Linked DNA regions of Arabidopsis thaliana. The protein of the gene in region 2 interacts with the protein of the main gene of each other region in a pairwise test. Each region holds a gene or a part of one and is shown on either strand. Other genes may lie near its edges.

What was found.
Region 1: the proteins of MPC (region 2) and CID12 interact in a two-hybrid assay, tested with the Arabidopsis thaliana proteins (one study listed by BioGRID).
Region 3: the proteins of MPC (region 2) and CID8 interact in a two-hybrid assay, tested with the Arabidopsis thaliana proteins (one study listed by BioGRID).
Region 4: the proteins of MPC (region 2) and CID7 interact in a two-hybrid assay, tested with the Arabidopsis thaliana proteins (one study listed by BioGRID).

What each region holds. Positions count from the first base shown.
Region 1 is NC_003075.7:6,553,350-6,561,424, forward strand, and holds CID12 (CTC-interacting domain 12), read left to right. Parts: upstream 1-3,632; 5' UTR 3,633-3,986; coding exon 3,987-4,355; intron 4,356-4,523; coding exon 4,524-4,634; intron 4,635-4,723; coding exon 4,724-4,768; intron 4,769-4,839; coding exon 4,840-4,912; intron 4,913-4,997; coding exon 4,998-5,110; intron 5,111-5,205; coding exon 5,206-5,265; intron 5,266-5,354; coding exon 5,355-5,471; intron 5,472-5,577; coding exon 5,578-5,639; coding exon of another isoform or gene 5,640-5,670; exon of another isoform or gene 5,671-5,733; coding exon 5,734-5,794; 3' UTR 5,795-6,253; downstream 6,254-8,075. Other genes in the region: AT4G10613 (RNA-directed DNA polymerase (reverse transcriptase)-related family protein), read left to right, coding at 7,690-8,075. UniProt on the Arabidopsis thaliana protein: Binds nucleotic acids in vitro.
Region 2 is NC_003074.8:6,702,154-6,708,203, forward strand, and holds MPC (maternally expressed pab C-terminal), read left to right. Parts: upstream 1-3,320; 5' UTR 3,321-3,372; coding exon 3,373-3,471; intron 3,472-3,563; coding exon 3,564-3,776; 3' UTR 3,777-3,974; downstream 3,975-6,050. Other genes in the region: AT3G19340 (aminopeptidase (DUF3754)), read right to left, coding at 59-130, 225-312, 398-466, 571-705, 808-920, 1,038-1,109, 1,192-1,296, 1,390-1,503 and 2 more; AT3G19360 (Zinc finger (CCCH-type) family protein), read left to right, coding at 5,391-6,050.
Region 3 is NC_003070.9:20,026,773-20,034,890, reverse strand, and holds CID8 (CTC-interacting domain 8), read left to right. Parts: upstream 1-3,271; 5' UTR 3,272-3,647; coding exon 3,648-3,947; intron 3,948-4,223; coding exon 4,224-4,337; intron 4,338-4,428; coding exon 4,429-4,473; intron 4,474-4,550; coding exon 4,551-4,623; intron 4,624-4,721; coding exon 4,722-4,834; intron 4,835-4,935; coding exon 4,936-4,995; intron 4,996-5,075; coding exon 5,076-5,123; intron 5,124-5,231; coding exon 5,232-5,300; intron 5,301-5,424; coding exon 5,425-5,486; intron 5,487-5,568; coding exon 5,569-5,629; 3' UTR 5,630-5,968; downstream 5,969-8,118. Other genes in the region: AT1G53660 (nodulin MtN21 /EamA-like transporter family protein), read right to left, coding at 1-40, 127-161, 254-361, 752-913; AT1G53655 (uncharacterized protein), read right to left, coding at 1,390-1,500, 2,105-2,134; AT1G53645 (hydroxyproline-rich glycoprotein family protein), read left to right, coding at 6,304-7,458, 7,837-7,986, 8,080-8,118.
Region 4 is NC_003071.7:11,185,659-11,194,959, reverse strand, and holds CID7 (CTC-interacting domain 7), read left to right. Parts: upstream 1-3,562; 5' UTR 3,563-3,723; exon of another isoform or gene 3,724-3,864; intron 3,865-4,175; 5' UTR 4,176-4,231; intron 4,232-4,339; 5' UTR 4,340-4,380; coding exon 4,381-5,154; intron 5,155-5,235; coding exon 5,236-5,674; coding exon of another isoform or gene 5,675-5,709; exon of another isoform or gene 5,710-5,812; coding exon 5,813-5,883; coding exon of another isoform or gene 5,884-5,889; exon of another isoform or gene 5,890-6,254; coding exon 6,255-6,379; coding exon of another isoform or gene 6,380-6,455; exon of another isoform or gene 6,456-6,522; coding exon 6,523-6,817; 3' UTR 6,818-7,234; downstream 7,235-9,301. Other genes in the region: ARSK1 (root-specific kinase 1), read left to right, coding at 701-1,111, 1,357-1,492, 1,824-1,960, 2,048-2,171, 2,257-2,723; AT2G26270 (BRCT domain DNA repair protein), read right to left, coding at 7,301-7,519, 7,724-7,877, 8,057-8,271, 8,361-8,486, 8,660-8,779, 9,037-9,168, 9,259-9,301.

The DNA.
Region 1 (8,075 bases), on a different chromosome or scaffold from region 2:
TCACTATCTTCATGATTTTTTTTCTTGATCACAAGAACTTTAATGCGGAAGCTTTAATTCTTATCCACAAGGATCGACTGCTCTGATACCATGTAGAATTAGATATTCAACTGACTTGCTTTTATTGATTCACTAACTATGGTATTTATACACAATTATCTCTATCAAGAGATAAACATAAATCCCTAAAATATAGGTTAGAAACTCTATCACCAAAGATAAGTACTAATCCTAATCGGATTACACATATCCCCAATATATAATTTTTTCATTATAAGTTTTATTATATGTTATAATTTTTGAAAAAAAAAAGAATGTTTGTTATAATTCTCTTCCTCCAAATACTTTGGTGAGGTTTACGATAAGATTGTTACGTTCAATCCTTGCTCTGAATAAGTTTTGGTTCGTGTTGTTTAAATTATTCAGTACTTAACTACTAAACTAAAATCATGTATATGTGGATGCGAAATATTGTTTTCGTATTTTTTTTTCTACGGTGATTTCAATATTGGTAGCTATATAATCTTTGTGTTTAATGAACTTAAAGTACCAAAAAATTACAAGTGAGTTTTCGGTAAGGAACTCAGATTATTTACATCTCATTAATCTATTTACATTAATTCGTGATCTTCTGTTTACTACGGAGTTTGGAGTATTTCAAAATGTTTTCTCTAGCTGTATCTTCACAAGATGGGCTTCCCGATATGGGCCTCTCAAAATATATTTTGTTTTTGTTTAAACAACCCAAATGTAGCTTTTTTCTTGTTTAAACCCAAATTGTATTTGTTTTTATTTTCTAACAAAAGAGAAGTATTTCGGGTGATACCAAATAACTTTCGAAGGAAAAAGACAAAACATAAAATGAGATTTGGTATTTTGGTGGTTGCTAGGAAACTAGAAGATGTCTAGTACCATGATTCGATTTCCGGAAAATAATACAAGACAAGAGTTTGGTAGCTATTGCGTCGATAACATAAACAATTAGGCAGCATTTTAAACTAAAAGAATAATCTAAAACCACTATTTTCAGCTTTGATTCCAAAAACACAATAATTCTTTTAAGAAGATGTACAAAAATTCGAAAAAACTAGGTAGATTTGCTAAATTTATCCCCAATAATTACAAAACCAGATACCAAATCAAAACACATGTATATTATTTCCGAACTGGTTCGGATTAATTGATTTTCAACTCATAGAAACAGCATAAAACATAGGGGTAATTAGAAGAAGAAAAATTATGGTAATGTAAATTTAAAATAATGTAGACAAAATCAATTAAGATGTTGTATTTGTTTAATTCTTGACCGCCACTATATGTAAAGCCTATTCTTGTTCGACGAGCAGTTTGCTATTTTTGAAGGCTTTAAAGATTTGTTTGTCGGTCTTCAAAAATTATATATGATTCTTTTTTGTGTTTTGTTCTCATTCAAACACTACCGAAAATCACTTTCCGGTAGATCATCTATCATGAAATTGCTCCAGCACAAACATGCTTAACTGTAAAGTTTTTTCGATATGTTTAATCGAAAAGATAAGTGCATTTCGTGGATATAGATGATCTAATTAATTTTTAAAACTCTTTTCATTCACTACTATATATCCTGAAATCGGGATGTTACAATTTATTTCTGAATTTTTTTAAGTGTCTCCTACATAACTAGATATGTTACAACCACTATGGATCTTATTTCTAAAAAGTATTGAATACATCATGTCTAAATTGATTAATTCTCAAATATACTACATTTTATGCTATTTTCTGTAACTTCCATCAGAATCCAAAATTTTTTTTTAACATACCATAAATTTTAATTTTATGATTTATGAAATATTTATAGATTTTATTATTTTAATATTTTTAAAAAAATCCAAAATAATAGTATCTTTTTAGCTAAAATTTCTTTTACTGTATTTTAGGATATTTCTCTATCTAATTGTACACCATACATATAACCATAATTTGGTGTAATTCAGATTTAAATTAGGATGACATCAAAATTAGTCAAAATCAAAATAGCATCTCTATTTTATTCTTATACTTCCAAGGAAAAAAAATAAAAGAGCTTTAAACGTGTCGTTATAGCTGTAAAGCTGGTGATGGAACTGGTAAGTTGGTAACTGCTTCGACCACCGTACGAATATGGTGGTTACTGGTTAGGCTACACGGTAATTTCTTTTATTTACCTGCAGTGAGAAAGGTAAATAATAATGAGTGAGAGAGTAATGGATAATTCTGAATTTGTAATGTCATTGTCATTGTTTTGTCAGTAAGTGATGCTTTAGTTAACTCATGTTTATCCATATGGGCCATTCTATGTTTCATATATATATATATATATATATATATATATATATAATATGTTATTTTACTTTTTATAATTTTGATTCTTAGTCTTTATCAGAAAAGAAAAAGAATTGATTCTTAGTTCTTGGATTTATGAAAAGTAAATAATTATGTGCAAAGAGATTCTTTGATAATTTTTCAATATAATAAAATATTAAGAATATTATTTAAAAAAAAAAAATTGAGGGAAGAGATTCATTTGATTTTACGAAAACGCTAAAACGAGATGGATTAAATGTTAGCCTTTTTCATGACAAATATGTTGTAAAGCATAATCATGTACAAGGTAAAATAATTTTGGGTTTTTAGTGTTTATGTCGTAATTCTATAATTTTTCTCAACTACTTTTTTCTTTGTATAATTTAGCATTTTTAATATCAAACACTTTTGATTCCAAATACAGTTTATTTTTATTTTCTTAAGACTACTTACCAAACACACATAAACGGTTTTTAATATCTAAAGTTACCAAATGTATGTATTTCAAAAAACAATCATCAGCAAATTTAGATGTTTTGAATTTTTATTAGAAGAAATGCATTGCATGGTTATAATTAGAAAATTAAAATAAAATATAAATCAGGATTATATGACCAAAAATTGTTTTAACTTTTACTTAGCATTTACACATAAATTAACAGAAATATAATATTTTTTAAAAAATAATTTTCTTATAATAAAAATTGTTATATTGAAATTCGAATATTAAGATTTGGCAAGTCGCCAAAATATAATCACACTCAACAAATTTATATTGTCTCACTAATTATCTGTTCATAATACATATATCAAATGTATAAATCTTAATATAATAAATTTTAAACTAATTTCAACTGTCATACTAAACAAGAGTTTATACAAGTCTTTACCTAGTGTTATACTCCCTCTGGAAATGTTAAAGCTTATTGTTTAAGAAAACATATTATACACCTAAAGAAAACTATGCATTCGTTTTGTGCCATGTGTTGTTTTACTAGTCGTGACTCGTGATTCTCCATATCATTACGTTAATCCCAACTCTCAACTATTATTATGTTATTTTTTACTATAGAATGGAAACTTGTAGATTACTTATATGAAGGTTGATTAAAATGTAATTAAAATCTGTATCTTTTTTATAAAAAAAGTCTCTTCATATATGTTTTAGTTGATGAGTGATGGACAAGTAAAAATAAATAAAATAAGTACATACGTTTTGTTTTAGTGATATAAATATATGATGCCAAAAATGTACATATATTTTCTGGATAAATATTAGAGTTGTAGATCCAGGTTTGCTATGATCTAGCTCTGTCCGAAAATTGCAGAGCGTGATCTTTTCTCTGTAGTACGACCGATTTGTTTTACTTTATCCAATCGTTTTAACTTTTTCACCACGGTTAAAAAAGTTAAAATCAGATCTCTAACCATTTTCTCAACGAACCTCGCTAATATTTCTCATTTAATCAAAATTTAATCACCATTAATCCTTTGGTTGATTACTCTTTTGTCCTCTTCTTCTTCTCTCTTCTCTTTCTTGGTGGCTCTCTTCTTATAGCCACTGTTCCCTTTTTCATTGTATTCCTCAAATCTCTTTACTTGATCGTTGGTTCTCTCAAAAATCAGATTTTTATTTCTGGGTTTTGTTCGATTTTGTGATCATGGCGGTCATTGAGAGCGTCGGAGCTAATACTACTGTGGAAGCTGGTGGTTTGATCTCGCCGTCGCCGCCGTCTTCCGTCACCAGTCAAGAATCAGGAGCTTCTTCTAACAACGATCACGGTGGAAATGGAATCCATGATGAGATCGGAGTCCACGTGGCGAGATCCGACGGTGGTGAGAGTTTTAAGCGTGATATGAGAGAGCTTCACGAGCTCTTGTCTAAGCTTAATCCTATGGCTAAAGAGTTTATTCCTCCTTCACTTACTAAGCCAGTTGTTAATGGTTTTAACGGCGGTTTCTTCGCCGTTAATAATGGCTTTGTTGCTGCCGGAAATTTCCCCGTCAACGAAGACGGTAGCTTTCGTCGGGTAAGAACATCTCTCTTCTCTCTTCTCTGTGATTTTGGGGTTTTGAATCAAATTGTTCTTTAGGGTTTTTGATGATTCTTCATTTTGGTTTCTCTGTTTCTTCTTGTGTGTGTTTGTGAGTTTTAAAAATCTCACCTTTATGTGTCAAAATGATTTGATTTGAAACAGAAGAAGTCGTTCGGACAACAAGGGAAACGGAGAATGAATCCTAGGACAAGTTTGGCTCAGCGTGAAGAGATCATAAGAAGAACTGTCTATGTGTCTGATATTGACCAACAGGTTTTAAAAAGTTTCCACCTTTCTTCAATTGTTCATTCTCAGCCTTTAGTGTATAATCACTTATTAGTAATCTTATTCTTGGGTTTAAGGTCACTGAGGAGCAGCTTGCTGGTTTGTTTATCGGCTTTGGACAGGTTTAAGCAACTTCTTAAAGTTCATCTTTGTTTGTGTTGTGTTATGGTGTTGACTGTATTTGGTTGTTTAGGTTGTTGACTGTCGTATATGTGGTGATCCCAACTCAGTACTTAGGTTTGCTTTCATCGAGTTCACTGATGAAGGTATCATTAGTTTCTCTATGTAATCTGTTTATTGGATAATGCCTGTAAGTGCTTGGTTTATGGTTTGTCATTTTGGGACTTGTAGTGGGTGCAAGGACTGCTCTGAATTTGTCTGGGACGATGCTTGGATTCTATCCTGTGAAGGTTATGCCGTCTAAGACAGCTATTGCACCGGTTAACCCAACCTTCTTGCCAAGGGTAAGGTTTTTTCTTGTGTTTCATCACATTCTGACTGCAAAGTTATGGTTTTTTAGACTCAAGAGGTTTGATTTTAGTCCTGTCTTTGTTCTTAGACTGAAGATGAGCGTGAGATGTGTGCAAGAACTATCTACTGCACTAACATTGACAAGAAGGTGACTCTCACTCGAATAAATTGGTTTCCTTTGCCAAACTATTCTGAAACTTAATGTTGCTAACTTTGCTTAGTTTCACTTTTCAACAGCTCACTCAAACCGACATTAAACTCTTCTTTGAGTCTGTGTGTGGCGAGGTGTACCGTCTGAGGCTACTGGGCGATTATCATCATCCAACTCGCATCGGCTTCGTGGAGTTTGTCATGGTAAGCAAATACTTCTGTTATCTCTCTTTCTTCCAACCTTCCATTTGTCAACTATAACGCTTATGCATTTTCATTAGTTAAGTATGATCTTTTCACTCTTCCGCAGGCTGAAAGCGCGATAGCGGCTCTCAACTGCAGTGGTGTCCTTCTTGGTTCTTTACCGATAAGGTCCAAGAACAAACCAACACTTACTCTTTAACATTCTCTCTAAATTGATCATCAATCTGAACATTGATCGTACTTTGGTGGTTGGATTTTGCAGGGTGAGTCCATCAAAGACACCGGTTCGTTCCCGTGCTATCCCGCGACATCAAATGCATTAACCGTAGCTACAAGTTTTATATATATTTCTGCTCCTCACAGACATGTAAAGAATGTTTGTCTGAAACTTCTGGTTCTTCTGTTTTCCCGTATGTAATGCTAGAAGCTTGATGATGCTTCTGTTGCCTTTTGCTTTTGGGTAAATCTCTTAGGGAGAGTTTTTTCGATTTGGGTTCCTACGTTTAGTAGTTTACACAGAGCAGAAGAGTAAAACACTGAGAGAGGCTTTTGAAGATTGTCTCTGTTTTTTAGTTATTTATACTCTTACCCCTGAAGTTATTAGAAACTTGCTTTGGTGCTTAAAAGTTTCTTCTACATTTTAGAGTTATGCATTTACATTATTGTCCTTCTTTGTTTTTTTTAATTGTTTTCGTCTTCGAGAAAAGTGTTAGGTACATGAAAGTCTGTGTTCTTAGTTGAACAAGTCAATTTCTATTTTCATTTTAAATTTCGGAAACGTGAATCATGTTTATCAGAAGAATATCAAGATTATAAAACTATACTAGTCACAAACATATTTAAATTTTAACAACAAATGAAGAATTTTGAGAATTTTAATTATATTTTCTTTGAGATATTAAATTTATAAATTTATGTTCAAAGTTTTTATGTTTTCATGTTAACGTCGGGAATCAAAAGTCGTCCTAGAAATAAATTATATAATTACCATAAACAATTTTGAATTTAATTATAAAAAAAGAGAATGAGGAATCTAGAAATTTATTGTTTTACCTTAAATTTTTGGATATTTCCCATGTTTAGTCTATGTTCGTAGTCAACTCAAAACAAAATCAAATTTCTGTTTTCGATAGGATTTAAATAAGAATTATCAAAAAACAAAATCTGAATAAAATAAAGAAAGGAATCTTGGAAATTTTTAAATTTTACCCTGAATATTTGTATTTTTTTCTTAAGTTTTAACTTTTCTTTTGGTTCTCCTTTCATCAGCAAACACATTAATATCAGTCAGACAGTCAAATTCTTGAATTGGTCAATGTTAAATTTTTAATTATCATGACAAGTAAACTTGCTCAGTTGTATTTTTAATCGAATGGTAAATAAACTTTAAAGGATGAAATTGTAATTTGCAAGTATCACACGTCAAGCGTATGTGGTGGCTAGTTGGACTTACACCAGTTGAGTTGATCCATCTTTGCGCATTTCGAGAGCGTCTCTGTCATCTCTAAGTAAAGCTTTGACATCTTTTGTACTTTCCAAAACATACAAAAAAAACAAAAAGTCAAAATTGTTGTAATTATATTACAATAAAGCAAAAGTGGCTTGGTCTGTTGTCTGCTTGCCAAAATCCGAAGGGGGGCTAGGCCTTCGAAGATTCACAGAGTGGAATGTTACACTTAGTCTAAAGCTCATCTGGCTCTTATTCTCTAATAGTAACTCTCTTTGGGTCGCTTGGCATAGACATTACTGGTTCATAAAGAAAAGATTGCAGGATACTTGGAATTGGAAGTGCCTCATACGCCTAAGACCACTCGCAGAACGTTTTATTAAGTGTTATCTTGGTAATGGGTTGAATGCAAGTTTCTGGAGGGACAATTGGTCTCCTTTTGGGCCACTGATTAAGTTTCTAGGTGAAGAGGGTCCAAGGAGATTGCGGATCCCTGTGGTGTCCTCTGTTTCTAAAGCTATTGTGGAAAATAGTTGGATTTTGCCATCACCACGTTCTGATGTTGAGCTTCAATTACACACTTACTTATCAACTATTGCCCTTCCATTGCAAACGGACTCGGCAGATTCCTATGGTTGGGTTGTTCAAAATGTGGATTGTAATGGTTTTTCTTCCTCTAAAACATGGGAGGTCCTGAGGAGAAGAGAAGACAAAAAGGATTGGGCTCCTCTTATCTGGTTTAAAGGTGCAACGCCTAGAAACTCATTTCATATGTGGATTTCAAATCTCGATAGGCTGCCTACTCGTGCGAGGTTGGTTTCTTGGGGTCTGCAGATCTCACCTCTCTGTTGTTTATGCTCTCAGTCTGTTGAGACCCGGGACCATCTTATTCTCACTTGTGGATTCAGTTCTTCAATCTGGAACATGGTGCAGGCTAGGCTTAGGTTGCAGCCTGTTCAGTTCAGAGTTTGGGAAAGCTTACTATCTTGGATCAAGTTAAGTACGGCCTCCTCTCCTTCCATCATTAGGAAGCTTGTTGCTCAAGCCACTGTTTGTGCTATTTGGAAGCAGAGAAACAACCTTTTGCATAACTTACAAGACATTCTACCGTCTATCATCTTCAAGAATATAGACCGTGAGATCATCAATTCCATCAA
Region 2 (6,050 bases):
AGAAAGACATGTAAACATGAACTGCAACAAAAGAAAAGAATCTGCCAAGAAGACCAACCAGACCAACTACTGCAGATATTAGAAATTTGACCCAATCCATTGGAGTCAGTCCAGGGTTTCTTTTCTCAGGCTGCACAAGACATTAATGTTATTGCAGCTAGTTTGCAATTTTCGCTACAAAATCCAGCGATGCAAAAGGAAAGAAGACAAGAACAGAAACTTACAAGCACAATCTCCATGTCAGCCATAGGAATGTTTTTGAAATGCTTAACGTAGATTCCTCGTTCTAGATTTGTTTTAGAGCTAGCTCGTCTGCAACATCATAAACCACAAGCTTGAACCACAAGTTCACAAAGTTACAAACAAATAGCTGAAACAAGACATACATATACCTTACCTATAAACAACAATCATTCTATCGAATGTAGGCTCCTGTATTGTGAGCTTGCTCAAAAAACTCTTAAAGCTGAATCCATCAACACAAATGCCATTATCATCATATATATGTACAGAATGGCAAAAGTTTGGGTTGAAAGCAAATCATAACATGCGAGGGATACTGATGATAACCTCAGCTTTGAATTCTCAAGGCGAATACGCTCCACATACAATTCATCATTATCTGTGTCAGGGTTTGGCTCATCATCTTTTTTGGGATCTTTCTTGTTAAGACTGCTTGACCTTTTGGCGCGTAATTTCTCTAACCTGTGATCTAAATGTGTTAAGACCCAACATGTAATCAAATGCCTAACTTTTTTTACTTGTATTGAACTTTAAGAAAGACTAGACTGGGAAACGTGTTCTAACCTGGTGATTCTCATGAGAAAGGACCAAAAACGTGAAATGATCACATCCAATTTCTCCATGAAAAAATAATCTGTGGTTTTATCCAATCCAATACCACGTCTGAAGATGACATACTATATAAGAAAAAGGGTAAATACTATATCAACACATGTCGCTACATGACCATCAAGAAAGTCTTTAGGAAACTATAATCTTGAAATGCTCATCTACAGACAAACTAAAAACTGTACCTTATCAGAAAAATCTGGAATATTTTCATGTGGATGCTCCTCAAAATACCTCTTGAGCAGCTTCTTGTCAAGCTTCATCCACCAAAAGCAAGAAAACTATTTTATAAGAATCCCGGCAACACACAAGCATTAGTGAAAGTTTGTTTAAACAAACCTTAGACTCATCAACTTTGATGGGAAGATTGAGAAGATACTGCCCAGAGTGTGCAACTTCCATCTCTTCATTACTTGTTATTTTAAAGTTGCTCTTCTCCATAACCTTTATAAGCGGGGGGAAAAAGAGGCACATTTCAAGAACAATGACATAGATAAATATAAGGGAGGAGATAATATCCTAATCAAAGAGAGTAACCTGAAACAAGTAAGCTAGGAAATTTTGTTCAAGGACATCAATCTCTTGAGAAGTTAAGTTCTGCTGCTGGATTTTCTGAGCACCGTGTACAGGATCAAACAGAGAGTATAGTTGCTGGAAATTCAAAAGCGCATGATAAATGAGAAAGCAAAGCAAAACAAGTTTGTAAAAGAGAGATTTTAAAAAGGAAAGAGGTTAGAGACCATGAGATCTTCAAATTGAAGAAGATACCAAGCTCGAACAGTGTACTCAATTCTCTTACATAGCTTAAGGAACTCTTGTCTATCATTGCTATGTTCTGCAAAAACACAATTTATCCGACCAAATTTGTAACCAAACAGAGAAAGGGCCAACGATTGTGAAAAAAGCAAAATTTGGGATTTGGGTTCAAAACCCGAGAACAGGGAAGAAGAAATTGGAGAAACTGACCAATGAGATTAGCCAAGGTCATGATGAGTTTAGGTTTGAGGATAGGGATGACCGATTCGGGCTCAAGACGAATCACTTCCTTATTGTGTTGTTCCGCCATTTCAAAAGGATCGAATTTTTGGGAAATCAGAAACAAAGGAGGAAGAAGAAAGAAGAAGAAGAAGAAGAAGAAGCGTAACGGACCCTGAGGAGGAACAAAACTGAAGCGTTCCAATGAGTTAATGTCGTTGAACTCGACCAACGAATCATCAGCCCAATGCTTTTTTCTATTTCTTGCTTCTTCTCCTTTTTTTTATTATAAATAATAATAATAATCAAATAATGTGATTTTTATTCTTTATGTTATGTCTTAAGTCTAATCTTCTGGTTGATCCTCCAATCATTGTATAACATAAGCTTCCTATATCATAATACATCAGCCTCTGTTTCTCTTAAAAAAAAATCATGTAGAGAGTACTTAAACAAATTCCTTGCCGACATTCAAAAGAAGAATAATTTCAGACCAATACCAATGTTGTGACTTGTAGTAATGTTAAAAGACCAACAAGGTAGGTAGGTCCTCTCACTTATTCAATCTCCCACAATATTATTATCTCTCTCATATAGCCAAAACCCAAACAGTGCTTCTGTCTCTCGTGTGTTTCCTATTTCGTTTATATGGGCTATATAAATTAGGCCCATGACATTATATGGGCTTTCACATCCAACTAAATGGATTATGGATTCATAGCGCGTGTGTTCACTGTCTCCTTTTAAACGCGTGGTTAGATCAAAGTCTCTCAGATTTCTTACCTTCTCTTTTAAAAATGCAAAAGATTTCTTACCTTTTCTTTTTTTGTGCAAAAGATTTCTTACCTTACAAAATTAAAATAGATACAGAGAATGTTGACTTGGTGAGGATGGAGGACACGTGTCAGTTTTTGATTGAGTAAGCTATTACTCTCCTAGATTTCTTTCTATTCCAATGTATAAATTTGTAACAAACATTGGATTTTGTCAAAAGTACCACATTTTCGATTTTTGTATATTGTAAATTGTGAAATTTTCAATATTTTTATTTTAAAAATCTAATTTTAAAATTCATGCACATTAGTTTGTCCCAAAAAAATAAAAAATAAAAGCTCATGCATTATAAGCCAATCACACTACCTTGTAATGTTAATTCTAAGAGTTAGATAATTTTGTTATTTGTAGATATACAAAACAAATGATTAAAAATACATTTAGTAAATTTTGCATTGTTCAACATACGTGCTAACATATAGCCATTGTTTTTCGACAAATCTAAAACCAAAATTTTATACTATTTACATAGAAAAAAAAAATAGGCATACGGTGTTATATCATTTTTGTTTTAGCTATATTATAGCGCGTGGTTCACACACATGATCTAAAGAGCGTGTTGAATCCCCAATTATTAAAAAGAAAGAATATTGGCATTTACCTAGATATTTTGTTTTGGTTTTGTTATATATAGCACATGAAATCTTATTCATCAAAACACTAAATTTTGTTTCTTCTCTCAAATATATCGTCGTCTTCATTGCTTAAGTCATGAATCGTTTATGCTTTTTTAACAAAGTTGTAAAAGTTGCCCGTGGTGATTCACCTCCTTTTGATCTTGCTTCTTTACCTCCCAAAGAACAACGAGATGTAAAATTGATTTTGCTTACTTTAAGATTGCAGCTACTTACAAATATAGTTTATGTTATCTTTATATGACCTAAATTTCTCTTTTTTTGTAGTTGATTGGTGAAACTTTGTTCTTTATGGTGGAAGAACTTGAGCCACAGTTTGCACCAAAAATCACAGGAATGATTCTTGAATTGGACCAAGACAAGGTCCTTCATCTGCTGGTAACACCTAAAGCCTTCAAAGAAATGGTCAAAGAGGCAATGGAGGTCCTAGCGCACTCCTTTCTGCAACAGATGAAAATTGCTAGGGGAAAAAGATGTTAGCAAGTTCCTACCTTCCATGCTCCCCGCTAAACTTTGAAATGTTTGTTTGGTTTTTGTTCATTAATATGAGCAACAAAATGTGGCTTTAAGTTGAGTTTTAAATCTTTGTTTTCATTTAAAAAAAAAAAAATCATATGTTAGTGTATCCAAATGTTTTAAGACAATAATAAAAATAAAATAAGTTCTGCTTCGTCCAAATAATTACTAGAGTGGTTATAACTGATGTTTTAGTTAAGTTGAATTTTTAATTTGTAAACAATGTATCCCTTAGTAATATCTAAACTTCTTTCTTTCATATTTAATCTTACTTATATTAAAATATATATATATATATTTATATTCTATTAAATAAGAAAAAAATATATATACATATATATAATAGTAATAATTTATGTTGATTTCAACTATATCGATAATGTAAAGCATGACTAAACACTAAATAAATGATATTTTTAGTAGCCCGTAAGATATTTTTATTATCATGTATTCAAAAAGTTTTAATCCAAACATATTTATTTAAATATTTAGATTTATTTTACTTTGTATGATGTAAGTAGATAATGTTTAGTTTTTATTTTACTTTGTATGATGTAAGTAGATAATATTTAGTTTTTACCAACCAATCTTTTTAGTTGCTAGTTTTTTACCAACCATATATACCCTCTATCCTTTTTGTATTTATATCTTTTAGGATAAAAGGCTAATAATAGTTTGATTTACTTTGTTAACATATCTATCATATACATCAAGTGTTGCTTCAAAACATAAAACCAAGACATGGAATTTTATAATTTATACTAGTATTCTCGTTGTATCATAACTTATATTTAAATTTGTGTTTGTTGTAAACAATCGAAAAGCATATAGAATTCGTATATATTTTATAATAATAAAGAAAAGGAAAAAACAAAATCGAGACAAATGAATAATAATCATGAAAAAATGTTTTTCATATGTTCTTATATATTTTCAATTTGATAAATACCGAATAAATGTTTCAAAGTAATTTGACTTTTTAAGTCAAATAAAATCTCTAAATTATAACAGTGAATCACAATAGACCAAATCAATCATAGCAAATAGATATGATTTATGAAAAAATGAGAACCTAAGTTTTAATGTTATACGATATAATTAGATAATTTAAAATATATGCATAATATACATATACTATTATTTTTATTTAATGTGTTGAAGGATACAAAATTATTAAAACCATAGCGATTACGTAATTTATTCACTATTCATCAGTTTCTTAATCCAAAAGAAAAAAAAGAAGAAGATAAAGAGGTATTTATATATCAGATGTTCAAAAACCCTAAATCGCGTTTCTTCTCTCAAATCTGCCGCCGCCATCATTGATCCAGGTATTGCTCTAACCTTGACTCTTCACGTCATTCGCATATTACTCTCCTCCTCGCTGATCCATTCGAATTCTGCACTCAAATCGTGTTTTTGTACATCATAGTTTCAAGCATTATGATTCTCTCTAGCCAATGACTTTTCTTGCGATTGAATCCTTTTGCAGTCTCGTTATCAAAAGTTGAAGAATTTAGTTTAGTTTGGTTGTGTAGATAAGATTTGTAATCGCAAAATTCGATCTTTGTTACAGTTATGGATTCGAGTTACTCTGATTCTCGTCCCATGTTCGTGCAATCACCTTATGGTGGTTGGAATCAAACACAGATGATTGATTCAATGGCTAATCCAATGAACAATGAACAAGGAGACTTGCATTCACTATCTGAATCACAATCACAATCTCAACCGTCTCAGCAATTACAGCCTGCATTGAAAAGGCCTAGACTTGTTGATGATAACTTGTTTAATCCTGCTTCGTCGTTTCCTCAGCCTTCGAGTAGCAATCCTTGGATGGTTCCATCTTTGAACCCTCCTCCTGTGAACAAAGGGACTGCTAATATATTCTATAAGACTAGAATGTGTGCTAAATTCAGGGCAGGGACTTGTAGGAATGGTGAACTCTGTAATTTTGCTCATGGGATTGAGGATTTGAGGCAGCCTCCGTCGAATTGGCAGGAAATTGTTGGACCTCCTCCTGCTGGTCAAGACAGGGAGAGGGAGAGAGAGAGGGAAAGGGAGAGGGAAAGACCGTCTTTGGCGCCTGTTGTGAATAATAATTGGGAAGATGATCAGAAGATAATCTTGAGGATGAAGCTTTGTAGGAAGTTTTGTTTTGGGGAAGAGTGTCCTTATGGGGACAGGTGCAATTTTATTCATGAGGATCTGTCAAAGTTTCGTGAGGACTCGGGGAAG
Region 3 (8,118 bases), on a different chromosome or scaffold from region 2:
TGCAAACATTGCACCTATTGGAATAACTGATGTAACATATCTGAGTACATAGAGTGATGTTTTAGCTAAACGGTATTTACAACTCAAAAATAAATAAATTGCTTACAGAAACACTTTCTTTCTTACATTTCTAATGTCATTCCTTCCTCAACCTTCATGACCTTTTAACAAGAAGACTAATAATCAGAATTAAGCGTTTTTGTCTTATAAGCATTAAAGAAATTAAAGGTCTTCGTAATAACCAATGAGATACCTTAAAAACCTTCGTGAGGAGAAAACACAAAACAGAGGAAAAAGTCATGTGAAGTAATGTCAATCCAAGTGGATAAGGGAAGTTTATTTCCTTAGATGACAATACCCACTGCATCAGATTGAGTCAGAAATAAAAATTAGTGCTGGAAAAAAGAAACTGAAAGAAGCTAAAGAGAAATGGAATGAACCAAAATTTACAAAAGTTTGAACAGTAAAAAAGTTGTTTAAGCGAATAATCATTTGTGTAATGGAAGTACATAACTCACCATTGAACCATACATTTGAACCTACTGTTGTATTAACAAGAATTTTATTATTATTATATTTCTTGTCCAAAACCAAATCGCATTGTAACAGAACTTTACCAAGATTGTCAAAGTTAAAAGCTTTAAAATCTACTAATGTCCACCAGATCTAATAAAATCAAATCTTGAGCAAAAAGACTGCAAATAGAAAACATAGATCCAATAACATATGAATGTGAGATTTGACTTAAAACCTTATTGAAGAAGATTTGACCGCTAGAGAGAGTGATGTAGAGAAGAATGGAAGCATACGTCACATGTTCTTCTCTAAGAAAGCCTCTGATCCGACTTCGATCCGCCATTAGAGTCAACAATCGTTTTGGTCTCAAATCAGCAAAAGATATTGCGATTCTCATTTGGTATGTCTTCTTCTTGAATATTCAATAGTACCTCACTTTTCCATCTTCTAAGCAAACTCTTTAAAGTTGACTAAAAGTAACGAAGAAATTAGCGGATCCCTCTTTAAATAACTTCTTTTCTACGAAATCCGTTTTAATTTATAAAGATGGGTCGGGTACACGGGTCATAAACACATAATGAGAGACTATGGGCTTTTGTTGACCAGTAAAATTAAAGCCCAGTATAATATCATTATTTTTTTATTTTTTTTTTATATATATCATTATTCTTAAAAGGGAAATTTGCAAAATTGACTAACAAAAAAACTATAATTAAGAAACTAACCAACAAAAAAAACAGAGACATTTTGTATATAAACTATAATATATACTAAAGTACCCTTAACTATACAATCACCATCTCTTCTATGCTATTACAACCATTACCCTTGTAACCGTCATCATCATTGCATCCACCACTATTTCCACAAATGTCATACCATCATCACCATCACCACTGCAATCGTCACCACCATAGAAACTACCATTACGCTGTCATCTCTACCATCATCACCATTATTGCCGCCGCAATTGACACACGACCACTGCAACCACCAACACAAATATTACTACGACCTACACCATACACACCACCACCACCTTAATCACTTCTTCCTCTCTTCCATTGCTTGTTTCACCTCTCTCGCCTCTCATCTTTTTTTTCTACTTTAACTTAATTAAAACAGAACCGAACTATAGTTTTCTATTTTACTTTCAATTTTGTACCATTCTATTTGCTAGTTAGAACAAAAAAAAAATGAAAACGAAGACTCACAAGATCTTATTGAATATTTTCTGGTTTGATCAATATATAAAATTGAAAATCCTTAACACAAATTTAAACCCAAAATCGAATCGATTTCAATTCGCTTTAGGAAAGGAGAAAAGAGATTAAAAGTATATAAACATGATTTTGTCAGATTTCTAAAAACTGAAACTTGAGATGATTTCATTTAGTTTAATTATTTTTGTTTGGGTTCCATATATAGTATCTTAGGGTTTAGTTTTCTTAAATCAATAGATGTTTTTAAATTAGAATGGATTGATATAAAAAATTTAAATTTTCTGGAAATTTTCTGTTGGATGGAGAGAAGAGAAGAAGCAACGAAGAAGATGATGAATGAAAAAGGTCTGTTAAAAAAACATTACCTTTAAATCAATATCTGATTCACAATCCATTACCTTTAGAACATATAGAATATTACCTTTAGATCAATATCTGATCAACAAAACGAAGAAGATGATGAGTCATGGCAAATTGGAAAATAAGGAAATAATGCAGGGATAGACTTGTAATTAGTTAGAGTTTTTGGTTACTTGCTGAATTACGTAAATTATATGGCTATATTTTTAATTTTTTGTCCTAATATGGCTATACAGCTAATTCACCCTTCTTACAAAAACTTTTTTTTTTGGGTGCAAAATTCTTACAAAGCTTTGGTTAATCTTTTCAAATCCCCAACACACGAAGCTCTTATAGACCAACTCATTAATTTTAAACACTAAAACTCGTAATCTGAAGAAGTGAAGTGAGTTTAAATTTATGAAAACTCTAAATTTGTAATTTGAGTTTTGGTAAGAAATTGATAGTTTTTCTATGCAACAATAAAAAAATGCAAAACAAATTACACACTTAATACATCGTTGCAAAGTCTTACATTTTTTGTTTGTATTTTTTTTTCCTGACGAGAAACCATTCAAATTTTATATTAGAAAAACCAGAAAATTATCATATTGTTGTGTGGTTACTGTTATTAGGGATATCAATACAAAAGTAACTGCAAACCAAAATTGAAATGTAAAATAAAATAACAAAATAGAATAAAAGCAGATTATAAAAGTGGAACTATAAAATCCCAGCAATAGTTAAAAAATATATTAAAAAAAGGAAAAAATCCCCCAACGAATCCAAAGATTTATGGACTAATTATTATAACAATTGCTTGCAATTATGAAGAAAATAAAAGTTTATAAAATAATCAAAATTTTGTTGATGTGTCAAACTAACAGTATCTAAAAAATAACACATTTCAATGCAGTCCATATGAAAGACCACACCCTATCTAATATCCATAACAAAAATAATAACATTTTAACAATTATATTAAATAATAATATTAGTAATGTGTAATATATTTCTTAGCAAAAAAAGTGTACTAAAACTACTAAAGATTTTTTTCAATATAAAAAATGTAATAAACTGGTGTATGTGTAAAATATGTAATTATCTAAAGGCCCTCAAGAGGAACATAAAATAATAAAGAATCATAACTTTTCTTTTCTTTTTAATTTTACATTTGACGAAATTAATTAAGAAAAAAATCTTAGTCCGAAAAAAAAGAGAAGCACTCTTGTTAGAGAGTTTTGGTCTATTTGATTGAGCTAGAAAAAGGCCTAAGCAACAAACCAAAACCCATCATTCCTTCTTCTTCTTCTTCTTCTCATCCATCGCCACCTTCTGAAACCACCGCACTAGATTTATATATTGTCTACGATTAAGCATTCTCGTATTCTGAAATGGGTGTTCAATAAAACTCGATTAATCTCATCAAATTTTGCATCTTTTTTACGAAATTCGACTGAAGAGAGAAGGAAAAGTTCGCAACTTTTTCTTTCCTCTGTCTCTTGTTTTTTGTTGAATTGTGATCCTTTTTGTTGTTTTATATTTTTTTGGAATTTTCTGATCTAATTAATGGCTGCGATCACTGAGATGGCCACTGATTCAAATGACGTAATCAACGATGGTGGAACTGGAGACGGAATTGAGAAGAGCACGGATTCTAAACCGGAAATCGAATCGGATGACCTCAAACCCAAATCCAAACCGGAATATGATCAAATGAAGAAGCTTGTTGCCATGTTCAAGAAACTCAATCCTGAAGCTAAGGAGTTTTTCCCTTCTTACAAGAGGAATACTAATCAGTCTGACGATTTTGTGATTGCTATAAAGCCATCTGGTGAAGACAACAAAAAGGTTGCCATTAACCGGAGGGTACAATCTCTCTTCTGTTTCTGATTATATTTTGATTGGTAAAGTTTGGATTTTTGGTTGACCTCTAAATGAGGTTTCATTCTAAGTGGGTTTAGGTCTTTGTGCTGGAAAGTCTCTAGCTTGAAGTTTCATATAGAAAGTTTTGTTTTTTGATCTGGTTTGGTTGGCTAATAGTTACATTGTCAAGTTTTGCAACTCTTATATGATCGTTACTTAACATTTCATTAAGAGTTTTGGTAAATTGTCTGTTTTTTGTTTTGGCTTTGTGGATTACAGAGAAGAAACAACTATAACCAAGGGAGGAGAGTGAGGTTACCTGGAAGAGCTTCTAAGGCTCAAAGAGAAGATAGTATTAGAAGAACAGTGTATGTCTCTGACATTGATCAGAGTGTAAGTTACTTAAACCCTCTTTTTAGATTTTCAGAAAAAAGATTCAGTTTTTCAACATTGTCACCTATTTTTTTTTTTTTTTTTCAAATAGGTGACTGAGGAAGGCCTTGCTGGCTTGTTCAGCAGCTGTGGACAAGTAAGTTGAAATCTATAAGCTTTGTTACCGGTTTTCATCTTTTGTTTGTTAATTAATATTACATTCTTCTTCTGAAGGTTGTTGATTGTCGAATCTGCGGGGATCCGAATTCAGTTCTTCGCTTTGCGTTTGTTGAGTTTTCTGATGACCGTAAGTTAAAGCTATTGGATTTTACTTAATCTTCTTTACAAACAAAATTCAAGTGTCAAGTTTGAGTTACATTAGTATGAATTTGTTTTGAAAAACAGAAGGTGCACGATCGGCTTTAAGTCTTGGTGGAACAATGATCGGATATTACCCAGTTAGAGTCTTACCTTCAAAAACTGCTATTCTTCCAGTGAATCCCACATTTCTCCCCAGGGTAAAAAACAAGAAGTTCCATTTTTCTCAGCCTGCATAGTAGCTTACAGTTTTAGAAACAAAAATGATGGTTTCCACTATTTCCTTTGGTGTTTTATTCAGTCAGAAGATGAAAGAGAGATGTGTTCAAGGACCATCTACTGCACAAATGTTGACAAGAATGTAAATACTTTTTCTCCGTTAAAGTTTAGATTGCGTTTGCATACTTGTTCTCGGATTTGAGAGATTCCTATAAATTGCAGGCCACTGAAGATGATGTCAATACCTTCTTTCAGTCTGCCTGCGGTGAGGTCAGTCTAGAATCCGAAAACTTGCTTTTTCTGCTCTCATAAAGATAATATGAAATTTGTAAAACAACAATAACATTCAACTTTTTTCTATCTTCTCTCTCTGTACAGGTTACTCGCTTAAGGCTTCTTGGTGACCAAGTGCATTCTACTCGCATAGCTTTTGTTGAATTTGCCATGGTAAACTCCTGTTAAAACTCAGCTTCTGTGTCCTCTTTTGTTAGTGTTAACAAGTAAAGCTGAACTTTTCAAGGCTTAGTTTTTACTTAACAACTGAATATGCGTTTGTTTACGGGATAAAAAGGCAGAGAGTGCAGTTGCAGCGCTAAACTGCAGCGGAATAGTCTTAGGATCTCAGCCGATAAGGTACACACATTATTTCTCTTTTGTGACAAACCTTTCATTGAATATAAAAACAATTTGAAATGAAATCTTTTGAATTCTTCAGGGTAAGCCCTTCAAAGACACCAGTGAGATCGCGAATCACTCGATCACCATCGCCAAACTAGGAGAAAACAGAGGCTTTGTTGATGAAGGAGAGTGATGCAACAATATTCAGTTATTTATTCTTTTTCAGTTGTCTTTCTTTTTCTAGAGCAGTTGTTTTCCAATTATGTAGTTTCTGGAAAGACAACAACCATGAACATGCTTCTTGGATTTTGAGTTCTTGTTCTGAGTTCTTTGACTTATTGAGTCATATCATCTTTCTTTAAAGGTTTTTTTTTGATCATTTTTGTTGGTTCTTAACTAAAAAAGTTTAGAATTTAGGAGATTTTAGATTTTACTATTTATGTTGAAGTGTTGAACGCTTAAGTTTTGGCATAATCATTCTCTTCATAGGAGTTTTTGGGTCAATGGAAAAGTATATTTCATTTTCCGTCAGGTATCAAAATCCAGGGATGGAACTGCAAAATTAAATTTTGGATCATTTTCTTTGTAATGTGCTTGAATTTGGCCTAATGTCTATAACTATGGGGGATTTCGACAAATCGAAAAGTATAAATCTCTTCCCATCAGGTACTCAAACTACAGGGATGAATTTACAAATATGCAGCAATAAGTCAACAGAAACGGCGACGTTTCGGAAAACCCCCATTTTCCGATTAACACAGTAACTCAAAACCCTCAAATCCTCAATCGCCAGTGTTTACGAAAGTTCTTGAAATTTGAAGAGATCTCACAGATGAGAAGTGCTATAGGAAGAAGATTCTCAAACCCTAATGGCTTCACCATTGCATCCTTAGTCAAACAAACTCCATTTCTCACCCAATCCACATCTCATTTCTCCTCTTCCTCCGACTCCTCCGGCCGTGGTCGTGGACGCGGTTCCGGTGAAGATGGAGGATTTCCCGCCGCTGGAAGAGGACAATTCGGTGTAAATCGTGAACCGGTGGTTCCTGGACGTGAACCGTCATCTGCCGGAGGTTATGGTCATGGTCGTGGTCGTCCGATCCAATCTGATTCGATTTCTCCTGCGTTTACGTCATTTGTCAAATCAGATTCTCCTAGTATTGGCCGTGGAAGAGGATCCGTTGGATCAGACACCGTTTCACCTTTCGCTGCTGAACCTCCTCGCCAATCGCCGCCTCCACCGCAGCAACAACAGTCTCAATCGCAGCAACAGCGTTCACAACCACAACAGCAGCAGCCGCGTTCGCAACCACAGCAGCAGCCTAATGATGAATCTCAGGGAAGTCCTGTATTTGTGAAGCTGCAGGAGATGCAGGACGCAACTTCGTCTCCACCACCACCAGAGTCTAAACCTGGTCAAGCTGATCCACCTGATAACATATTCAATGCATTAGGAAACGAATTTTCACATCCTAGTGGAGCAGGTCGAGGAAAGCCTCTTGTGGAATCTGCTCCAATCCGACAAGAAGATAACCGCCAAATTCGACGCCCTCCGCCTCCACCGCAGCAGCAGAGAGTACAACCTCAGCAGAAGCGGGCTCCAACGGTCAAAGATGGAACTCCTAAGCCGCAATTGAGTGCGGAAGAGGCTGGAAGAAGAGCAAGGAGTGAGCTTTCGCGTGGTGAAGCTGAAGGAAGCAGTGTGGGAGGAAGAGGAGGGAGAGGGAGAGGGAGAGGAAGAGGAGCAAGAGGGAGAGGCAGAGGAAGAGGTGGTGATGGATGGAGAGATGATAAGAAAGAAGAAGAAGGTGAACAAGAGGCTATGCGTATATTTGCTGGAGATTCAGCTGATGGAGAGAAGTTTGCTGAGAAAATGGGACCTGAATTGATGAAAACGCTTGCGGAAGGTTTTGAGGAAATTTGCGAAAAGGCGTTGCCTTCTACTACTCACGATGCCATTATAGATGCTTATGATACCAATCTCATGGTAAATGTTTCTGTGTTTTATTTTCTCTATGAATTGTCTAGAAAAGTATACAACTTGCTACTGAGAATGGTAACACTGAAACTTCAAATAGTATTAGGAATATTGAATTCTCGAGTAGCAATAGTATTAGTATTGAGTCATACTCTATAATGTGGTAGAATTGGTTGTGGTGGCTTTGAAGTTGTTTGACTGAAATATGCACAATGTACAAAAGTAGGCCACCATCTCGTCTTGTATGATTTTCAGATTTATAATAGCCTCTATGGTTTTTGTTCTTTCATTGTGAAATCGGTCATTCAGTCAAAGGAGCGATGGAGAAAGTGCTCTTTTTGTTGGTTTTTGAGTCTCTTAGTTTTCTCTATCTATTTTGGTTTGCAGATTGAGTGTGAGCCTGAATACATTATGCCAGACTTTGGATCAAATCCTGACATTGATGAGAAACCACCAATGTCTCTGCGTGAGTGCCTTGAGAAGGTGAAGCCTTTCATAGTGGCTTACGAAGGAATCAAGGATCAAGAAGAATGGGAGGTAATAGTGTTCAATTTGTGAATTTGTTTTTATATGAATCGACGCAATATTTTGTTTCAGTTGATGATCACTTGAATTTCTCACTTTCTGCAGGAAGCAATTAATGAAGCGATGACACAGGCTCCCCTTATG
Region 4 (9,301 bases), on a different chromosome or scaffold from region 2:
GAACAAAAACTATTAGTAAATAACTAATTAGTCTTATGAAACTAGAAATCGAGATAGTGGAATATAGAGAGACACCATTAAATTCACAAAATCATTTTTAAATTACCTAAATTATTACAACAAAAACTATTAGACAGAACTAAGTCTATAATGAAACGAGAGATCGTATTTGGAATGTAGAGCGAGAGACAATTTTCAATTCATTGAATATATAAGCAAAATTATATAGCCCGTAGACTTTGGTGAGATGAAGTCTAAGTACAAACAACTGAATGAATTTATAATCAATAATATTGATTATATTGTGATTAGAAAAAGAAAACAACTTGCGTTATTTTTCAATATTATTGTGAGGATTAATGTGAACATGGAATCGTGTTTCTCCTGAAAAAAATATCAGCATAGAGCTTAGAACAATATAAATATATCCACCAAAAATAACTTCAACATTTTTATACAACTAATACAAAAAAAAAAAAGCAAACTTTTTGTATATATAAATAAATTTGAAAACTCAAAGGTCGGTCAGTACGAATAAGACACAACAACTACTATAAATTAGAGGACTTTGAAGACAAGTAGGTTAACTAGAACATCCTTAATTTCTAAACCTACGCACTCTACAAAAGATTCATCAAAAGGAGTAAAAGACTAACTTTCTCCATTTTTTCCCCAAATAACACAAAAGAAGAAGTTGAAAATGGCAGTGTTCAAGAAGAAGAAAACATCATTGACATCTCTGTTCTTGGGGTGTTACAAGGCAAAGAACGCAAGCAAATACGAAGGAGGGGAGAAGGCTGTAATGAAAATAAGAACTTGTCCAGCGTTCAAGAGGCTGTCTTTATCGGACATAAGCGATCCAAGCTCGCCCATGTCGGTTATGGATGATCTCTCTCACTCCTTCACATCGCAGAAGCTTCGTTTGTTCACGTTGTCTGAGCTGAGAGTGATTACGCATAATTTCTCTAGAAGTAACATGTTGGGGGAAGGAGGGTTTGGGCCGGTTTACAAAGGGTTTATTGATGATAAGGTTAAACCGGGTATCGAAGCCCAACCGGTTGCTGTAAAGGCTCTTGATCTTCATGGCCATCAAGGCCATAGAGAATGGCTGGTAACATTTCTTTCTCTTTATGTATGTTTTTGTCTACATTCAAGACTTTTCTATTCACAAGGAACAATTTAATTACGAAGACCGTCTCGATTATTTTATATATTTTTTGAATTTTGGTTTATCTTCTTAATTAGCTATATGAATCTGGCCATTTTTCAGTATGTTATTAAATATATATATCTTTTGTGAAATTTCTTCATAAAGTTTTTTTTTTCAGTGTATACAAAATTTATTTTTGTTTGCAGGCGGAGATATTATTTTTGGGACAACTAAGTAACAAACATCTTGTGAAGCTGATAGGGTTTTGTTGTGAAGAAGAGCAAAGAGTTCTTGTTTATGAGTACATGCCTCGAGGTAGCTTGGAGAATCAGCTCTTTCGAAGTACGTCATCTACTATATTTTTACCTAACTTGCTAAAAGTTGTTTCAATTTTTGCTATATATGTTCTAGACCGCGTTACAAAACATTTTTTCTGTTTAAACCTAAAAGAACAACTCCACGAAGACTTTAATTACGTTTTAGTTATAGAATGACAAGAATAAAAAATATTGAAGAAAAGAATCCATATGGTTCACGTTAACTTCGTCAAGTTCTTACTTTATTTATGGGTCGTACACTACATTAATAACTTCTTAAAAAACTATATATTTTTTATAATTTAGATAATATTCAATAGTATTACTAACTTTGAAAAGTGTGTGAATTGGGACAGGAAATAGCTTAGCAATGGCTTGGGGAATAAGGATGAAGATAGCTCTCGGAGCCGCCAAAGGTTTAGCTTTTCTCCATGAAGCAGAGAAACCTGTCATCTACAGAGACTTTAAAACCTCTAACATATTGTTAGACTCCGTGAGTTTTTTTTTCCTTTTTAAATTTTGTATCCACTATTAAATCAAATTAAAGTGGTATTTCTCAACTGACTCTTTGATATTTCAGGACTATAACGCCAAATTATCTGACTTCGGTCTAGCCAAAGATGGACCTGAAGGCGAACATACGCATGTAACTACCCGAGTGATGGGAACACAAGGTTATGCTGCGCCCGAATATATCATGACTGGTAACATTTTTGTAAGGAATTTATTTCTTTTACCGTGAAGCGATATTCTTTGAGATATGTCTTTAATGGTTTACATGTGTTGTAGGTCATTTGACGACGATGAATGATGTATACAGTTTTGGAGTAGTTTTGTTAGAGCTGATAACCGGAAAACGGTCAATGGACAATACCCGAACACGGAGGGAACAAAGCCTAGTGGAATGGGCGCGGCCTATGTTAAGGGACCAAAGAAAGTTAGAGAGGATAATTGACCCGAGGCTCGCGAACCAGCACAAAACAGAAGCGGCTCAGGTAGCTGCTTCCCTAGCATACAAGTGTCTAAGCCAACATCCTAAGTATAGACCTACAATGTGTGAGGTGGTTAAGGTCTTAGAGTCTATCCAAGAAGTTGATATTAGGAAGCATGATGGCAATAACAACAAAGAAGGAAAGAAGTTTGTTGATATAAATAAGTTTAGGCATCACCGTAAAGGCAAAAGACGTGTGAACATCGCTTATTCAGATTCTCTCGTTTACAAGGAATCCAAGGCAAAGCAAAACGATGGCATTTGAAATACATCATTTTCTCATATGAATTATTAAGCATTCATATTCTATGAACGCAATTCTTATCTTAAGTTATGACCATTCTTCCAAAAATTTGAAGGAAAGAAAGGTGATGTTATAAGTATCCTAGTTCTCTGGTATTTTAGATTAATTTCCTTTACATAATTCAAAAATACTTTGTACAAAAGAGTCATGTACAAGAAATATAAAATAAATGTTTGTAAATCATATATATATACACCAGTTTGTTGGGCGGACAACGTTGAAGTTATTTCGCTCTTTAAAACATAGTAGATGATCACTTGGTTGGTTATTATGGAGATTGGAATTGCAATAAAATCAAATCATGTATGGTACGGCAGCTACCCCTAGATTATTCTTGGTGATTCCAATGAAATTATGAGCTCCTCGGAGCACTCTCGTTTTCAAGATTACATATGAAACCGTTTGGGTATATTTGAGTTTCAGAATGCTGTATAAATGTAATAAATTATTAAATTTTTATATTTATTTTATCTATATCAACAATAAGTATACTTTTTTCCCTAGATGACTTAAATTCAAAGCAAATTAACAATAACAATCAGTTTGAAGATTATTTTTCCTAAATATAAATATAATTGTATAAACTTTAATTAGATTTTTAAAATAATAAGCTAATTCAGGATATTCAAAATATATAGAGAAATCTTATTAAAAAAAAAAATTAGTTGAAAGGAAATAGTTAACCTAATAAAAGCAAGTAATCAAAGCCCAAAAATTTACAATTAAAACCCTTAGTGATAAGGATTAAGTGTCATTAGTAGTTAATAAATAAATGTTGTAGATAGATGGAGTCACTAAAAAAAAAAAAGGTCAAAACGAGAGGCGCAAGGTTTGGTGTCTTGTTAAATAAATCTTGTGGTGCTCGTGTTACCTCTTTAGCCAAACAACACCCCCAAACAATTACTCTTATAGAGAGAGTAGAAGAAGACGACGCTTACCCCAAAACTCGAATCCCTAGGAGGTAACAGCTTAAGCTCTCCGATTACCCCAAACTGCAAAATTTCTCATCTTTCTCTCTCTTTATCTTGTTTTCAACAGCAGCCTTTACCTTTTTCTTTTAACCTCTGATCTTGTTATCTTCCATGGATCCATTTCCTTAAAGGTTTGCTCTTTCTTTCAGAGATATTCTTATCTCTACGAATCTCATCTTGATTTGGGTTCTTCTTTTTTGTGTGGTTTAATAAATCACAAATCTGTTTTTTTCTATCTTGGATTTACTTAAAAATCTTGTTTTTAATAAAGGGTTTTCTTTTATTTCAGTCATTTAAAGATACCCTTATTCTAGAATTTAGTAGTTGTGTTTCAAATTTTAAGTCTTTATGTGTTTGTCTGGTAAGAACTATAAAAAAGCTGCAATGGGTTTTGACTTATGAGTTTGTAGCCACTGAAAATGTATCTCTTTTTCTTGTTTAGGTTTTGGTAATATGAATTGAGAAGTCCACGCACGTGTGTATCTCTATTACCGTCAGGTGTGTTACCTTTCTTCTCTGAGTAATTTGTTTGATTAAAGCAAAGTATTTTGCAGGTTTCTTCTTTGAGTAATTTGACTTAGAAAAGCCAAACTCTTTTTTTTGCAGATTTTGGTTTAAAAGCAGTTATTTTTACTAGTCTTGTAAGAATGAGTTTAACAAAGAAAGCAAGTGAACCAAAGCTAAGTGGTACTAGTATCAAGCCAACAACTTTAAACCCTCATGCTGCTGAGTTTGTTCCGTTTACTCTACGTTCTCCTTCATCTGGAGGTACAAGTACTTTGGATACAAGACTTTTAGCTTCTTCTAGTTCTGTTGGGAAAGCGGTTTTGGACAGGACAGAATCATCTGCGTCACATCATTCAGATGAAGAAGCACGTCAGTTCTGGAGTCATCAACTTCCTGATGATATAACTCCAGATTTTGGGTTGATGACTCAAGATGACAATTCTTATGGATCTGGTAGTTTGTCACTAGCTAACTTGTCGTTGTTTGACGGTAATGAAGCTGAGAAGTTTCCTTCTGCTAGTGGAGGATATGGCTTTTCAGATCAAACTGGATTAGCTTCACATAATGCTAATGGTAATAGCTTGGCTGATAAGAGTAGATATCCCATTTCTTCATTTGGGGAAGATCCTCAGCGACAGAGTTTCATGCAACTGAGTCCAAAGCCTTGGGATAAGCAAATCATGAATGCTGAGCAGCTTCTTGGGAATGACAGGGAAAGAAACCCTTTTAGTGGGAAATCTCGACATGGCTTTGTTAACGACATGATTACTGAGAGTCCAGGGGATATGGAGGTGAACCCTGTGGATTTTCTCGCTTCTCAGTTCCCCGGATTCGCCGCTGAGAGTCTAGCAGAAGTTTATTTTGCTAATGGGTGTGATTTGCAGTTGACAATTGAGATGCTTACTCAGCTTGAGGTATTCTCCTATTCAATATATGGCATAGCTTTTATTGATGTTATGTTATTAAATTCTATGTTTATTTTCTTCTCTGTATAGCTACAAGTGGATGGTGGCTTGAATCAAAACATAAGCCCTAAGACTTATGCTCCTCCTAGTCTAACTCCAATGGATTTTCCTGCACTAAGCATCTCAAATAGCCATGGTATTCCTGCCCAGTTTGGTGGGGATGATTTGCAACAAACTGGAAATCATTACCAATCTCCTGAAAAGGATAACATGTTCTTCTTCAAGTCGGGACCATCGGTTTCTCAGCCTGGTGCAATCGATTATGTTTCTGCTGTCAGGAAGTTAGCATCTCAGGATTCTGGTATGTGGAAATATGAACGAAATGATTCAGCAGACTCATCTATTGGCTCTAGCAGGAATTCTGGTGCTTACAAAAGTGGCCGTGGGAGGAGTATATATTCTGATAAGCTGCAAAGTCGAGCCCAAACTCGACCTGCTCCTGTTTGGGTGGAGACCGGGGATGCTGTTGGTAAGTTTCTTCTTTTAACAAACTTTATTGCATAGACAAATAACTATATGAGTCTTGTTATACATCTGTATTGAACATATGTTATCTTATTCGACGATGTTGCATTTCTGGCTCTCTCTTTTATCTGGGGATGAACAGGCAATATGTATTCTGAGTTACGCGAGGAAGCACGTGACTATGCACGTTTGCGGAATGTGTACTTTGAACAGGTATAATATACTTGGAAATGACATTTTACTCATTTATGTGGCCTCTAGTTGTTCTGCAGACCTGTTGTTTTTTGCAACTGGGAAGTTCCATTTGGTACATACCTGTCTATTAATGTTAAGGCCGTGTAATGTGGCCTAACCTTGAGGTCTATTGTCCAGATTGATTTTTGGAAAATACTTCGGGTGTATGGCGTAGTGAATCATAAGTATTTGGAATCTTGCGTGCAATTTATGATGATAGTTTATAAAGCTTTTTGTCAATGATGGGGTTTTCACCGGTTTTATTACTTCGACGTCATCTTATTAACCTGTTATCTTTCTGTCTTAGTCATGTACGCTCAATATTCTATGTTGCTTCTGGTTGAGCGTAGGCACGACAAGCATACCTTGTTGGGAATAAGGCCTTAGCCAAAGAGCTAAGTGTTAAGGGACAGTTGCATAATATGCAAATGAAGGCTGCTCATGGGAAAGCTCAAGAAGCCATTTACCGCCAGAGGTTTGACTTCTTTACCTGCACTGCATCTCCTTGTAACATGATCTTTTATCCGAAACACACACTGATATCTCCATAAATGAAAAACAAAACTCCTGTTCTCAGTATCTCTGTTCTAACCTGCCTATGAGTAAAAAATGAAACAGGAACCCAGTGGGTCAAGGAAACAGTAGAGGGAATGAGAGAATGATAGACTTGCATGGGTTACATGTGAGTGAAGCACTTCAGGTGTTGAAGCACGAACTGAGTGTGTTGAGGAGCACAGCTCGAGCAACGCAAGAGAGGCTTCAGATTTACATATGTGTAGGGACAGGCCACCACACAAGGGGTTCCCGCACTCCGGCTAGACTCCCAGTTGCTGTACAGCGCTACCTACTCGAAGAAGAAGGTCTTGACTATTCCGAACCACAGGCCGGTCTCCTTAGAGTCATCATATACTGACAGACAAAAGCCAGGTACTTATATAGGATACAAGACCGGAAAAGAAAACAAAAAAAAGGAAAGGTGACCACGCTATTCATTTGTTGTATCTGATCTGTACATGGGAAGAGAGGAGAAAGAGACTAGCTGAAAATGAAGAAGGAAAAAAAAAAGTGTTAGGAAAGAGATCCGCAAGAAGGAAGGAACGAAGGCGTATGCATAAAATGTTTAGGTTTGTTCAGTTAATACTTTTTGTAGCATCAGAGGATCGATCAGACCTCTTTCTATCTTTTTGTCGGGATCTATACGATGTTTTGTTGATTCTCGGTGCTTTTTTTTTTTTACAGTTTTACTCTATATGTTATACTCCTTTCTTCTGGAAATGCTTATATTTGTAATTCTCTTAGATTTAATGTGCATCACTAAGTTACAAATTCATGAGTCAAAAAGTAAAATTTTGTACTTTAAAAAGCTTGTTTCCAGTTATGTATTGTAAAAGAGAAATCAAGCTCTAATCATAAGCTCATAAACATTACTGTTGTTCTCTCCATTCACTCGCTTAAGCATTTCGAAACTTTTCCTGCTTCCTAATAACTCTATTCTTGGGAAAACCAAGCATCCTTCATCTGATGTCTCTTTGCTGCAATACACTGTTCTGAGACGGTCAGCGTGCCTCGAGTCTGTGTGAATTGCAACTTCTATTTCATGATCCGGCAAGTTCTCCTGCAGAATCAATAGACACAAGAGATCTTCTTATTGTGAACTAAACGGTAACATGGGCCTAGTGAGTCAACAGAGATAGTATAAATACTAATCACTCATAAGTTCCTAACTAAGACGAAGAAATTGATTCTAAAGACTCTCCTTTTCATAGCAACTAAAAGGAACTGAAACGAGAAATTGGCCATTCGAATATGATGGTTATACCTGGTAAAATCTGTAGATATAGTCTAAGATTTGCAGGCAAGTGAAACCACTATCACTGAAATAAGTCCGTGAAGAAGGTCCCATCTCCGAGAACCGATCAGCTGGATATAGAATTGTAAGGAAGCTGTCTTTAAATATCACTTCTGTCTTCTCACTGCAGAAGAGCGCCCAGGAAGAAAAAAAAGATAGTTGACCACAGTGAGATATTTCCAGGATTGCAACAATGGCAGCAATAGATAGTAGTAGACTATCACTGGAACAATTTACTTCTAAAGTAGCCATGTAAAATCTAAAAAATGAAGGAAAAGAGATGTACGAAGAACGAAACAGTACCTCTCGGTTAGTGCTCTGGTTGAATTTGAAAAAGAAGCCACTGGATCTAACCCTTTATCTATCCCATCTTGTACAACAGAAGGCTGGGGTTCACTGATGTCACGACTGCTGCTGTCAGTAAAAATAGTGGCGGCTGAAGCTGCTTCAGATATTGTCCAGCAAATATTGTCCAGCAGGCTGTACTGTGTTATGCGTCTTATTGGGTTTTGGCAAGTCTATGGGACATCCAGAAAGAGAACAGACAAATTCAGACACTATGGTGAATTTAAGACATCAGGGAAGAAAGAGAAAGATCATCAGTTACCTGCATATGGCGAGCACGTCGTCTCCTAACCCCCGTTTTAGCTATATTTACAGTCTCTTTCCGTTCTTGTTTTGATAAACTTCTGGATTTAAAAGCCTCTTGAGAATTACCTTGCCCGGAAATTTTCTGTGAGATTTATACAGAGAAAGGTCGCAACTATTACTCTCATCACTTGAATTGAAATTACAAGACGGGACAAGGAAACGTAGGAAGACTGAGAAATTATGTGCAAGGATAGAGAATGGGAAAATTAACTTGTAAGGACAGTAGAAATCACACCATATGAAAAGATAAAGTACCTCATTTGCCGCACCATCTTCAAAATTTTCAAGCATTAATCCTAACTGTCTAGCTAAATCAGGTGACATGTGTACAAGTCTTTGTCGATGTTTCTCCACTGTTTTCAGAACCCATAGTGGCTGATGCAAGAAAAAAAAAAACGAAATTAAGCATGTTAAGGTCATCATGAAACAAATCTGTTAATCGACTAGGATTATCTTTCTCATCTAGCTCACTATGGTCAATAGTATGACAAAGTAACAGAGCAATCAAGTCACATTTACATGGGATTGTGTATCAAATTATCCACATTTTCATAGAATATCAAAACAAGCGGAAGTACATCTTCTGGAGAATACATTACAATTCTACAAAAATGACATAAAGAAGAACTCACTGAGACAATGGTTTTGGCATGGCCAAGGTATCTCTGAATAGAAGCACCTTCACACACGACAAAACTTGCATTGCAACCAATAAACCATGAATCGATGACCTTTGCTCCTTGCTCTCCAGCAACCTTTAACACCTAAACAGACCACATTCTATTTAAAGAAGCTCATAGAAAAGACTGTACAGCCTGGCCAAAAAGTTAAAAGCACCCAATGTGATAAATTACCTTAAGGCGGAGTTCATCTGAAATGTCTGAATCAACATACATG